Linked DNA regions of Mus musculus: region 2 is reported to be linked to region 1. Evidence: microRNA targets listed by miRTarBase, many of them from high-throughput screens and not tested one by one. Region 1 holds a microRNA gene; the other region holds the end of a gene's coding sequence.

Region 1 (6,249 bases):
CATTCCTTAAAAAAAAAAAAAAAAACCTGCGATGGATGGCCAGTGAGCCAGCTGCTGGCAAACCCAAACCATGACAGAAGAAAAAAAAAAAAAAAAAATCACCACCTTCGGGCTACCGGAGTTACGCCGTGATGCTCTATGTGCATCTTGCTTCAATTAATTTCAAAATAGCGCTTTCATTAAGAGGGAAGCAGTATAAAGTTAAGAAGGAAACATCAAATGGAAAAGCAAATGCTGATGAGCTTAAGTGATGGTTCGAGAAAAGCGCCTGAATCTCGATCCTCGGGACTCTAAAAGCTGTCCTCTGACCTCCACTCGCAAGTCGCGGCTCGCGCCACTGCCCCCACCATGCTTTAAAAAAAAATGTTTTTTCTTTTAATTTAAGAAAAGGTAATCTTGAAAGTTCCTATTTCTAAAATTAAGTGTTCGTTGGCTATCTCCCAGACGATCTGGTGGTGGCTTAAGAGCGGAAGAATCTACCCGGTCCTCGGAGGCGTGCGCGCTGCGCCCCGAGGATGAATGAATGGAAAGCCCGGCGCGTGTGAAATGCAGGTCTCCGGCCAGCCGACCCGCGGCGGCGATCTGTAGGCCTCGCTCCTCCCCCTTCCCTCCTCCATGACAGCCCCGTCCCGGCGTGGAGGGGCCAGGACAATGTGATCCCCACCTCAGCCGGCCCCTGTCCCCGGCGCCGGGAGGTGCGCGACACGACCCCTGAGCATGCTCCCCTACTCAACGCCACGGCCCCCGGCTCCCCGCGGGACGCGCCCGCCCAGCTCCCGCGCGCCCACCGGTGGGCTCCGCCAGCCCACCCTCCTCCGCAGCTCCAGAGCGCGGCCCGCACGAGGACCCCCGGCGGCGGGTCGCCGGCGACGGCGAGGCGCCGCTGCCTCGGGCTCCCTCTCCGGCTCTCTCGGGCCGGCTCGCCGCCCACCAGCCACGGTGCCCGCTAGGAGCCGCCCGCCCCACGCCCCCCCGAGACCCCGGGACCCCACGCCGATCCCCGCGCCCGTGTCCCGAGCCGCCCTCCGCCCGCCGCATCGCGGCCCCGCGCGGCGCCCCTCCCCCCACCGCCCCGGTGCCCGGGCCCCCACACGGCGTGTGCGCTCCACGCTGCCGCCGCCAGCCTCCCGGCGCCGAGGCTGCCCGCCGAAGGTCAGGCCGGGGGCGGGCAGGGACCGGACGCGGCGGGAGGCGCCGTGCGCGCCGGTAACGCCGTCCTGCGGGAGTCCCTGAGCGGAGGAAGCCGGAGCGCGGGGAGCTCGGGGGTGGGGGCCGAAGGCAATACTCACCGGTTCCACAGTCGCCATCTTAGATCGATCTGATCGCACAACCGCTCCTGAAGGGGGGGCGAGAGGAAAAAAATGAGATTCAAACCGGATTGGCCGGCTCCTGCCCACGTGACGGACGTGTCCGTTTGGCCCTAGCGGCGCCTGCGCAAGACTGCAGCTGCTTGGGGAAGGAGAGGCTTCTGGGAAGTGGAGTCTTTTTTTTTTTTTTTTTTTTTTTTTTTCTTAAGGCAAGAAGTTTTTTTTTTTCTTCCAAAAAAAAAAAAAGTGATCACGTGGTCGCTGGCGAGGGTGCGTGGCTCCCGGCGCCGCGGGCGCTTCCTGCCGAGTTGGATTTAGGCCTCTGCTGGGCAGCGGGCAGAGCTCCGGTTGCACTCACTGCGGGGCATTCCTGCTGTGCCTTCTGTCGCCCAGTCCTCCCATCTTTCCTAGAAGGTTGAGAACTGCAGGCTCAGCACACGCAAGAAGGCTTCATTTGCTTAGCTGAGGTCCTAAGACAAGTTGCTTTTTATTTAGTTTTTCTTTTCGCCTCCCACCATTTTCTCTTGGTTTCTGAAAGAGGCGGCGATGGAGAGTCGTTGATGTGGTCTGCGTCTCCCCAGTCCCCGGTCCACTAACGCGGGTGGTCCCTTGCTACCATCGCTGCCCAAGCGGGTGGGCGGGCTTGCCCCACGGTACCCTCTCACTCGTTTGGGGAAGGGGAGTGCACGCGTCGGCTTTTCCTGTTCCCAGTCCTGAGATGAAGGCGTCAGGGGTGAATCTTGCTGGACGTGAAAGTTTGGAAGTTCTGTCCAATCGGTTCCAGTATTCTGCTTGGACGTGGACGGAAATAGCCTACGTCCAGGTGCCAGCCAGGGAAGCCACTCGGGGCTCCGCTGACTCAGCCCTGGACTGAAGGTCAGGAGTCGTTAAACCGGGTCAACTATGACTCTTGACGTTGACTCATACTCCTTAGGCGAGTGACTTAATACGCTCAGTGCCTCAACTTTTTCATTTATGAACCAAAGATGATAATACACTTACCTCACAAGGGTGTGCTGTGGTAAGGACTGTAACCAGCTTTGAAAACGCTTCGGAATCTAGAAGCAAGCGCGTGCCTTCCTTAAGGACCAGCTCCCTCCGCCTCCGCTGCTGTTTTAGCAATCTTGCTTCTTGACCCTGGGTCTTTTGAAGCGCAGGATGGCCTTGAACTTGAGGTATAGGGGAGGATGGCCTTGAACTGTCGATCCTCCTGCTTCCACCTCCCCCCCACAAAGTATCGGGATTACTGGCGCGTGCTGGGCGTGGGGGTGGGTTGGGAGAGCACTTTTTTGCTGAGATAGGGATGGAACTCAGGGCTTCCTGAGCGCTAGGCAAGCACTCTACCAACTGAGCTATATCCCCAAGCCTTAACAGTGTCTTAAAATTTTCTTTTCTTTACTTTGTTGCGTACACCGATGCAGTTTTAAAGGGAATGTAGCTGCTCTCAACAGAAACTTCGTGTTCATGAACTTATGTTCATAACAACTAACAAACAGAACTGGCATGCTACATTTTCTTCTAAGTTACCAGGCCGTCAAAGCACTGTTGGGTAAAGTTCCTAATGAGGGAGCCAGGATCTCATGGCTTCCACGCAGCTTAAAAATGTTACCGCCAGGAAAAGCAGTGTAAGCAGGCTATCTCGTGTCTGCCTCTCCATGGCATTGCTGTTGTCCAGAGCTGTGTCATAGCTATTATTGAGTACATAATGGATGCTTGGGTTGACTAACACATAATTGAGGCTGTGTAAGAACTCAAAGCCAGTGCCTGCTCGTGTTTTTGTTTACCAGGATGGCAGAAGTGATTTTAAACGAAAGCTTCTGTTTAAGTTGGCGTGAGTAGATTCTCAAGTAGACATAGCTCTATGAACTAAACACATAGGTGAATTTCTATGTACAAATCTGTTAACACTAACCAAAGTAATTATAATTGACCCCTTATTTTCTGTTGTCTGTAAAGTGATGTCTGGTTAATTTCTATGAGAAGACAGCATTAGGGTGCTGAGTTGTAGCTCAGTTGATAGAGTGTTCATCCAGCCTAGATTCCCCCCAACACCACATAAACCCAGCATGCTGGAGGATCAGGACTTTAAATTCAGTGACATGGCAAGTTCTAGGCCACCCAAAGAAACAGGAGAATCTCTATCCAAAGAAAGGAAAAAGACAACCTAAATATCCTGTTTTGAGCTTCAGGGTTGGTTACAGCACAAACCAATCCATTGGCAAGAAAGTATCCTGACAAGCCTGAAAACCACCAATATAAAGTTTTTGTTTAAAATGACATTTGATTGTTTTTTTTTTTTTAACCTTCTTCCTCTGTTGTCAGTGAAGACTCATATTTTGGGCTACAGGTATAACTCAGGGGTAGAATGTTTGCCTAGCTTGCTTAAGATTCAGGATCCAGCCGGGCGTGGTGGCACACACCTTTAATCCCAGCACTCAGGAGGCAGAGGCAGGTGGATTTCTGAGTTTGAGGCCAGCCTGGTCTACAGAGTGAGTTCCAGGACAGCCAGGGCTACACAGAGAAACCCTGTCTCAGAAAAAAAACAAACAGAACAAAAAAAGACTCAGGATCTACTTCCTAGTACCCCTGTGTTCCCACAAAGACTTGCGCTTTTACAGTTTTTTTTTTGTTTTTTTTTTTTGTTTTTTTTGTTTTTTGGTTTTTTTGGTTTTTCGAGACAGGGTTTCTCTCTGTAGCCCTGGCTGTCCTGGAACTCACTCTGTAGACCACGCCGGCCTCGAACTCAGAAATTCATCTGCCTCCCAAGTGCTGGGATTAAAGGCGTGTGCCACCACTGCCTGGCTCGCCCCATTCTTTATAGTTTAAGTCATCTCTATATCTGTATATGATTTATTGACTATTTTTAAACATTTCAGATGTGTTTGCCTAGTGTCAACACTTACGATTTCATCTTGTCAAATATATGGGGGCTAGATTTTTATGTGTTATGTCGGTCTGTATACAATCACTTTCATTTTGCTTATTTATTCATTTATTTGTGGACCCAGAGTCTTGCTATGTTGTCCAAGGTGGTCTTGAACTCATAGACTCATAGGATCCTCCCATCTAGTCTTCCAAAGAGGCTGCAACTGAAGCCACAGGCAGCTGTGCCCAGCCATCACCTTACTACCACACCCATGCTTGTGCATGTGGTGGCGCACGCCTTTAATCCCAGCACGTAGGAGGCAAAGGCAGGCAGTTTGAGGCCAGCCTGATCTACAAACCAAGTCCAGGACAACCAAGGCTCTGTTACACAGGGAAACCTGATCTCAGAAAGCCAAAGGAAAAAGGAAAAAGGAAAAGAAAAGTTTAATTTAAAATCAGGGAAATGTTTGAGAGATGCTCTGATGCTGGCCTGTATGATGGAGTTGTCTAGATCACACACAACTACTTTGGCCCAGGGTAGTGTCGATATAACTAGTCCTTATAATCCTGGCCTGATCGAATGTTACTGGGCTTTAGTAAATAATGAAGATAGCTTCTCAATATAATACATTCCTCAGTCTGGTATGTTACCATTTTAACTCATGTTAAGACTTCAAATAAGAGCCAGGTAGTGGTGGCTCACGCCTTTAATCCCTAGCACTTGGGAGGCAGAGGCAGGCGGATTTCTGAGTTCAAGGCCAGCCTAGTCAGAGAGTTCCAGAACAGCCAGGGCTATACAGAGAAACCCTGTCTTGAAAAAACAAAAAAACAAACAAACAAAAAGACTTCAAATAATTTGACAGAACACACGGGTTGTTTCTGTCATACTTTTCTTTGGAGTTTTAGTCTCTTGACTTAGATGACTGAAGTCATTGTTTTGCCAGACTTTTCTACTATGGTTGGAACTAATCACACCTGCTATGGTCTATATAAAAATATTTCTGCTTGCTGCCTAGGGTTTTCATTGTTGTTTTTACTTAAGCTTCAAAACGTTAGACGTCCATAGCTCTTGATAAGTCCTAAGCAGATTTTGAGATACAGGAAATTGTATAACCAAATAAATGACCTCAATATTGTAAGCTGAGTAATGTCTAGGAATAATCTAAACCAACTTCTAGTTTATACATCTCTTTGTTCACTCTCCCTCGAGATGTGACTGCCTGTACTATAATTTATGATCTACTTTTATGATGGTAATTTTCCTTTAGGAAAGATTCAAGATAGTGTCTTCAACATAAAAAATAGTCTTAGAAATTACTTCTATAGCTAAGAGCATCTAGGGTGGTGTCAGTTCTCATACTACAAATCCACTGCTTACTGTCTTGGCTAGATGTTTTAGTCAGTTTACGCTTTGGTTTTCTCAAGAGTTATATGGGGAAATAGTATTGTTTTATTTGGTTACAGTGAAGAATACTGACTGTTTCATGTGTTTTGTTTAGAATAGATTTCGAACACCACATTCAACATTACTGATCATTAGATTGATAAGATATTACTTGCTATAAGTATTTTTCATTTAATTTTCTTTGTCATATGCTGTCATTCCTGCTCCGCTTGCCCAACCATAATGTCTTCTTGTGATCATGACGGGTGGCCTGAGAGGAAGAGTAAGGCAGGTGAGAGTGAAGTGAGGGTCATCTGGGGTTAATCAGACAGACCCCAGGTGTCAGGGAGGAACCAGAGACAGGCTGCAATGAGACAGCTCGTTTAATTTCAGGGGGAGGCGGAGACAATGGCTATTTAAACCTTTAGAGATGAGTAGGGGCTATCAGGGCAGGTGTACACCATTGGTCAGGACCAGGATGCTGGCTGAGGATGCCTCATTTGCATAAGGAGTAGTTCCAGGTGCTTAGTGGACATGACCTTATATGAAGATGGGTCATTTAACCTAGCTGCAGCTATGTGACTTCCTCTGGTGTGGCAAAAGTGTGGGGCAAGGGAAGGAGGTCCCACACTTCTTGAGACAGGACTTCTAGGTATGGACACAACTGAACCTTCATTCCTGCTCTGAGTTGGC
Region 2 (4,367 bases), not on the chromosome of region 1:
CTACTGGTGGGGAAGAGATTTTAAAGGTGGGACCTTCTCAGAAGTAGGTCTCTAGGGGAGGGCCTTTCAAAGTTAAGAGGTTGGCCTATACTGTAGCTTGTGGCTGGCTCCTTTTTAGTTCCCTGGTCCATCATGACTTTGAGTCCCTGCCAAATGTTTTTAGGGAAACTCCAATATGTCTAAAGGGAAAATACCCCACAAACCTCCCCTCTTTGCTACTGTCTTGTATCATGGTCACAGTAACACAGAAACCATTACTTTAGATATTTAGGGTTTGTAAAGAAGCAGCAATGAGACAGAGTGGGTAGTCTTAAAGCACCAAACAATAAAAACATCCCCTCCAAATTTATCTTGACAAGTCACAGATGGAGATAAGCTACTCTAGTCATAATGGCCACCCTCTAAGCTCCATGTACTGCTCTCTTTCAATGTGATATATCAAAACTAGACGGCTTCTGACAGTTCATTTTTTATTACACAGCAGATGTATGAACTAACCAGAGACTAGGACGACTACCTCTTTTAAACAGGAATTCTTTCTACAAAAGGTACTGAAATGGCCTGTCAGATTATTTAGGAATTAGTTCAGGGCAAAGTGGAAATGATATGAAGTTATTTCTCAGAAGTTAGTCAGGACCCCCTGTAACAAGGGCGATTGCTAGCACCGTTTGAGAACATTTATTATTACTAGAAGGTAACAAAGGAAGAGAAGAGCAGCCCTAAGAATTTTCCATTCATGTTTTCAGATAGTAATGACAGAGTAGCTTCTCAAAGGCTTTTGTGGAGCTTAAGTTCTTGATAAGTAGAAATATTTTCTGTATGTCCAGGAAATGTAAACTGTGCACTTTTGGGATGGGTGCCTGTTTTAACAGCTGGGGCTGCTTTTAGCAGATAGAATACGAGATTTTACAAGTTTCTGAAAACACAGCCTTGACTGGCCAGTTGCCTCTACAATGTTTACAAAAGTCTCAGGAGAATCTACTAGTGTATTCCTTAGTCAACTTTGCTCACTCATAAACCAAGGGAGACTTTATTATCTTCCTGAAGGATTTGTGAGGCAGGAGGGGACAATCTCAACTTCAATTTTGAGGTAGGTAAAATACATGACTTTCCAGAATATAACATCCGTTGACCTTTATGGCCACACCATACCTCACAAACTAAGGGACATACAATCCCTAACATAGAATTGTTTTTTGTTTTTTTTTTAAAAAAAAAAAAACACTGTCAAGATCAGTTTAACTCATGATCTCTGAGAAGTTCTACCCTCAATGAATCATCACTCTTCATTTTTTTTTCTAGAATCCTGGGATTATGTCAATAACAAGAATTAGCACATTATACTTCATAGACATTAATTTCATCTTTCATGTACATTATGAATACAGAGAAACAACTCATCTATTTTCAATGGTCACATGCCATACCAATTGTGTAAATGTTTCCTGAAAAAAATATTATTTACAAGTGTTAAATAATTTTCACAAATGGAGGCAAGGATTTGTTTGTCTTTGTAAACTTGGAAGAGTTAATTTATGGAACTCTGTGTCACCCTATGGTACAAGACTAATTTTATTAAGAAGATGAACAAATTTATTATAAATTTATATTCTTACTAACCCCAGCAGGAAACACCTTGAATTGAAACATATATGGTAGTTTCCAGCCTAAGTAGAAAAGGTATCAATAGGACACCATATTGGAATTTTAACTTTTTAAAACTATTAAGACCAATTTGACATGTGTCCTTTTGACTATCTTGCAAGACTACCTGGAAGCAAGACATATCCTGCCCTGTCAATGGCCCAGATAAAGCTAATCAGAAACCAAACAGCAACATAAAACAAATGTGGGGACATGGACTGAAGATTCTAGGGCCAACAAGGCAGCCAGGGAGAACATGTGGACATTGTCAGACCTGAGTCTTAGTGCTCCTCGCCCGCTAAGCTTTGTGTTTACAGTCTGTGTAGATGCCAGCTGCCCGAAGTGCTTTACTGCTCCTCCACACCCCACTCACAAAGACAGCTAAATATTCTGTGGGCTTCACACCTCCCACACGACCCCGTGGCTCAGAAAACAGGAGTCAGTGTTTGTACACCAAAAATGCTAATTGCCTTTCTTTATATGATTCTTTTATCTTTGCAGCTTTCCTACACCCCTAAAGAGCCTGTACTTTAAACGATCAGGACGGTAGTGGCTAGAAATACCTGTCTAGACTGCTCAGTATCTACATACCGCGAAAAGTTGTATGTTACCATGCATATTTCAAGTTAACTATGTCTTCCTCTAATTTCCACCTACATTGTCTAAAATGTCAAACTAAAGAGAACATATTAGATGATTCTTATTCTCTCCATTTTGATATGAGATGCATGTTAACTTAGGAAAAAAGTTGACAACATTTCTGGAAATGTTGTTAGTGATGATGAACAGATGGCCACCCAGAAATCAAAGTGATAGGTGACTACTTACTGTGCACAAATATGGTGACGAGGGAGTCCTACTTTTGGGACACAGTGAAAATCCTTGACCTAATACAAAGCTTAAGGTGAAATTCAGAGTAGAATAATTATCATAAAAATAGACCAGTTTTAACTAGCTGCAGACATCCCAAAAATCTTTTTAAAAACAAGCAACCTCTACAAACCAAGTAGGCGTTCCTAGATGTTAGACTACTACACTGTCCTCCACAGCTTCAAGCACGATGTCAAAGCTGATGGTCTAGCTAGCTCTGGTGGCCATTTGGGCTACACAGTGAAGACTGCAAGTTCAGGGCTTTGTTTTTATAGAAACTTCACTTCTAAGAAAAAAATTTTTTTTTTCTTTTTCAAACTTTTAAAAAGAGCAGTTAAACCCAGTAATTAATTAATAAATGCTATGTATAGTTTTCAGCTAGGATTTAATTCCTCTTTGTTTTGAAACAGTAACTGATTTTCAGCTGAACCTGAAGAAATGTTGGATACAAACTTGTAAGTATCCTTTGATATTCGTCTATTCACATTCTGTGTCAAAGCTGAAATGTACTTAGAGCATAGTACCCAGACTAAAGCAGATATGAGATATGTTTATAACCTACAAAGTTACAAGAGAGATTCCAGTTCAAGCTGACAGAACATACACTAGACTTAAAGCACTGCATTAAGAACACCACAAATACCACCTTTGGGTAACTACGATGGACGTTCTATTTGGAAGACAAGACTACAGAGAACGAAGACTGCACGGTGCTTACTTGCTCACCGCTCACTTGCTGCTTTTCTTTCTAAGGTGCTCTTCGTCACAGTGTGGCAGCTGTATCTTTGTGACTAGAAGCCAACTCTTAGGCTAACTAAAGAAATTCAGAGTTTTGTTTAAAATACTTTAAACACCTGTAATAAACTGCGGAATTTGCCAAGAATAGAGGTACTCTGGTTAGCAATCCAAAGGGTTTAAATATGAATGCAATCCATAAGAACAGTAACAACAACAAAAATAGAACAAGTTTTTTTCTCAATAAAAATAGGCCAGTCGCTAGAAGGTACCATTCTGTGAAGACATTATTTTGAAGCCCTAGTCAAAGGAGCCTTGGAATTTGCCACTGGGTTTCTACTTCGTGCCCGAAGAACCTTATGAAAAGCAGTCCTGACACAACAGAATGACATTTGCAGAATGTAATACTGGAGTGAGAGAACTGAGGTTGATGGATACAATCACATTCCTGTGTATTGAACTGTTACATCTTAATTATTCATTCAGCTCATTGGTCCAATAGCATAAAAATAGAGAACAGCATCTTGAAGTTTATCTCATTCCATGTTCAGAGACAAATGGCTTAACCATTCTTCCCATTATTTTCTGGAGGCAAGTCCTTGTTTACAGTCTGATAGCAAGCACATGCTGGTAGTTTCCAAAGCTACTGTATGAAGAGGATGCTGAAGGCCATCACTATACAGCATATGGCGACATAAGGACTCTTGCGTTCCCCTGTTGAAGAAAAGAAGACATTCCTCTTGGTTGAACGAATGACTACTATGGATATGATAAGGCTATAAGAGAGGAAAAACAAGGACCCAGAGACAACAAGCAAGAAGGTACATTAAAACTTCAGCTCAAGGAAATAAACTTAAGGGATCTAACCCAAATCCAAACCTATTCTTATGATGTACTGTATTCATGTGAGTGATCATGCCACAGTGCACATGTGGAGGTTAGAGGACAACTTCAGAGTGGGTTCTTTCTTTCTGACTTGATATGAATTTTGGATACTTAACTCAAGATTATTAGGCTAGTGCCTCTTCCTGCTGAACTTTGCTGCCACATCATGAGATATTATTATTATTCTAACTCTACTTTGTAGTTTGCAAGTGTGTACTATGTAGATGTCAATG

Evidence for each region. Region 1 holds the annotated microRNA mmu-miR-1956 (AGUCCAGGGCUGAGUCAGCGGA, at 2,158-2,179, opposite strand). A microRNA usually pairs through its seed, bases 2 to 8, with sites in the 3' UTR of a target mRNA and lowers its output. Matches are read on the target gene's strand: a 7mer-m8 pairs with bases 2 to 8, a 7mer-A1 pairs with bases 2 to 7 and ends in A, and an 8mer does both.
Region 2: the mRNA of Tmem167 is a reported target of mmu-miR-1956. Seed matches in the 3' UTR shown: 8mer at 821-828.

The regions. Positions count from the first base shown.
Region 1 is chr3:138,522,355-138,528,603 of GRCm38, reverse strand. It overlaps Mir1956 (microRNA 1956), which reads right to left and starts at 2,183; the gene lies at 2,119-2,183. It overlaps Eif4e (eukaryotic translation initiation factor 4E), which reads right to left and starts at 2,413. Exons shown (of 8, transcript NM_007917.4): 1 at 2,310-2,413; 2 at 1,290-1,336. The coding sequence starts at 1,307.
Region 2 is chr13:90,103,971-90,108,337 of GRCm38, reverse strand. Tmem167 (transmembrane protein 167) reads right to left here. Exons shown (of 4, transcript NM_025335.3): 4 at 1-3,963. The coding sequence ends at 3,893. Among named protein-coding and RNA genes, the nearest start is that of Gm24507, 7.2 kb to the right of the region's middle.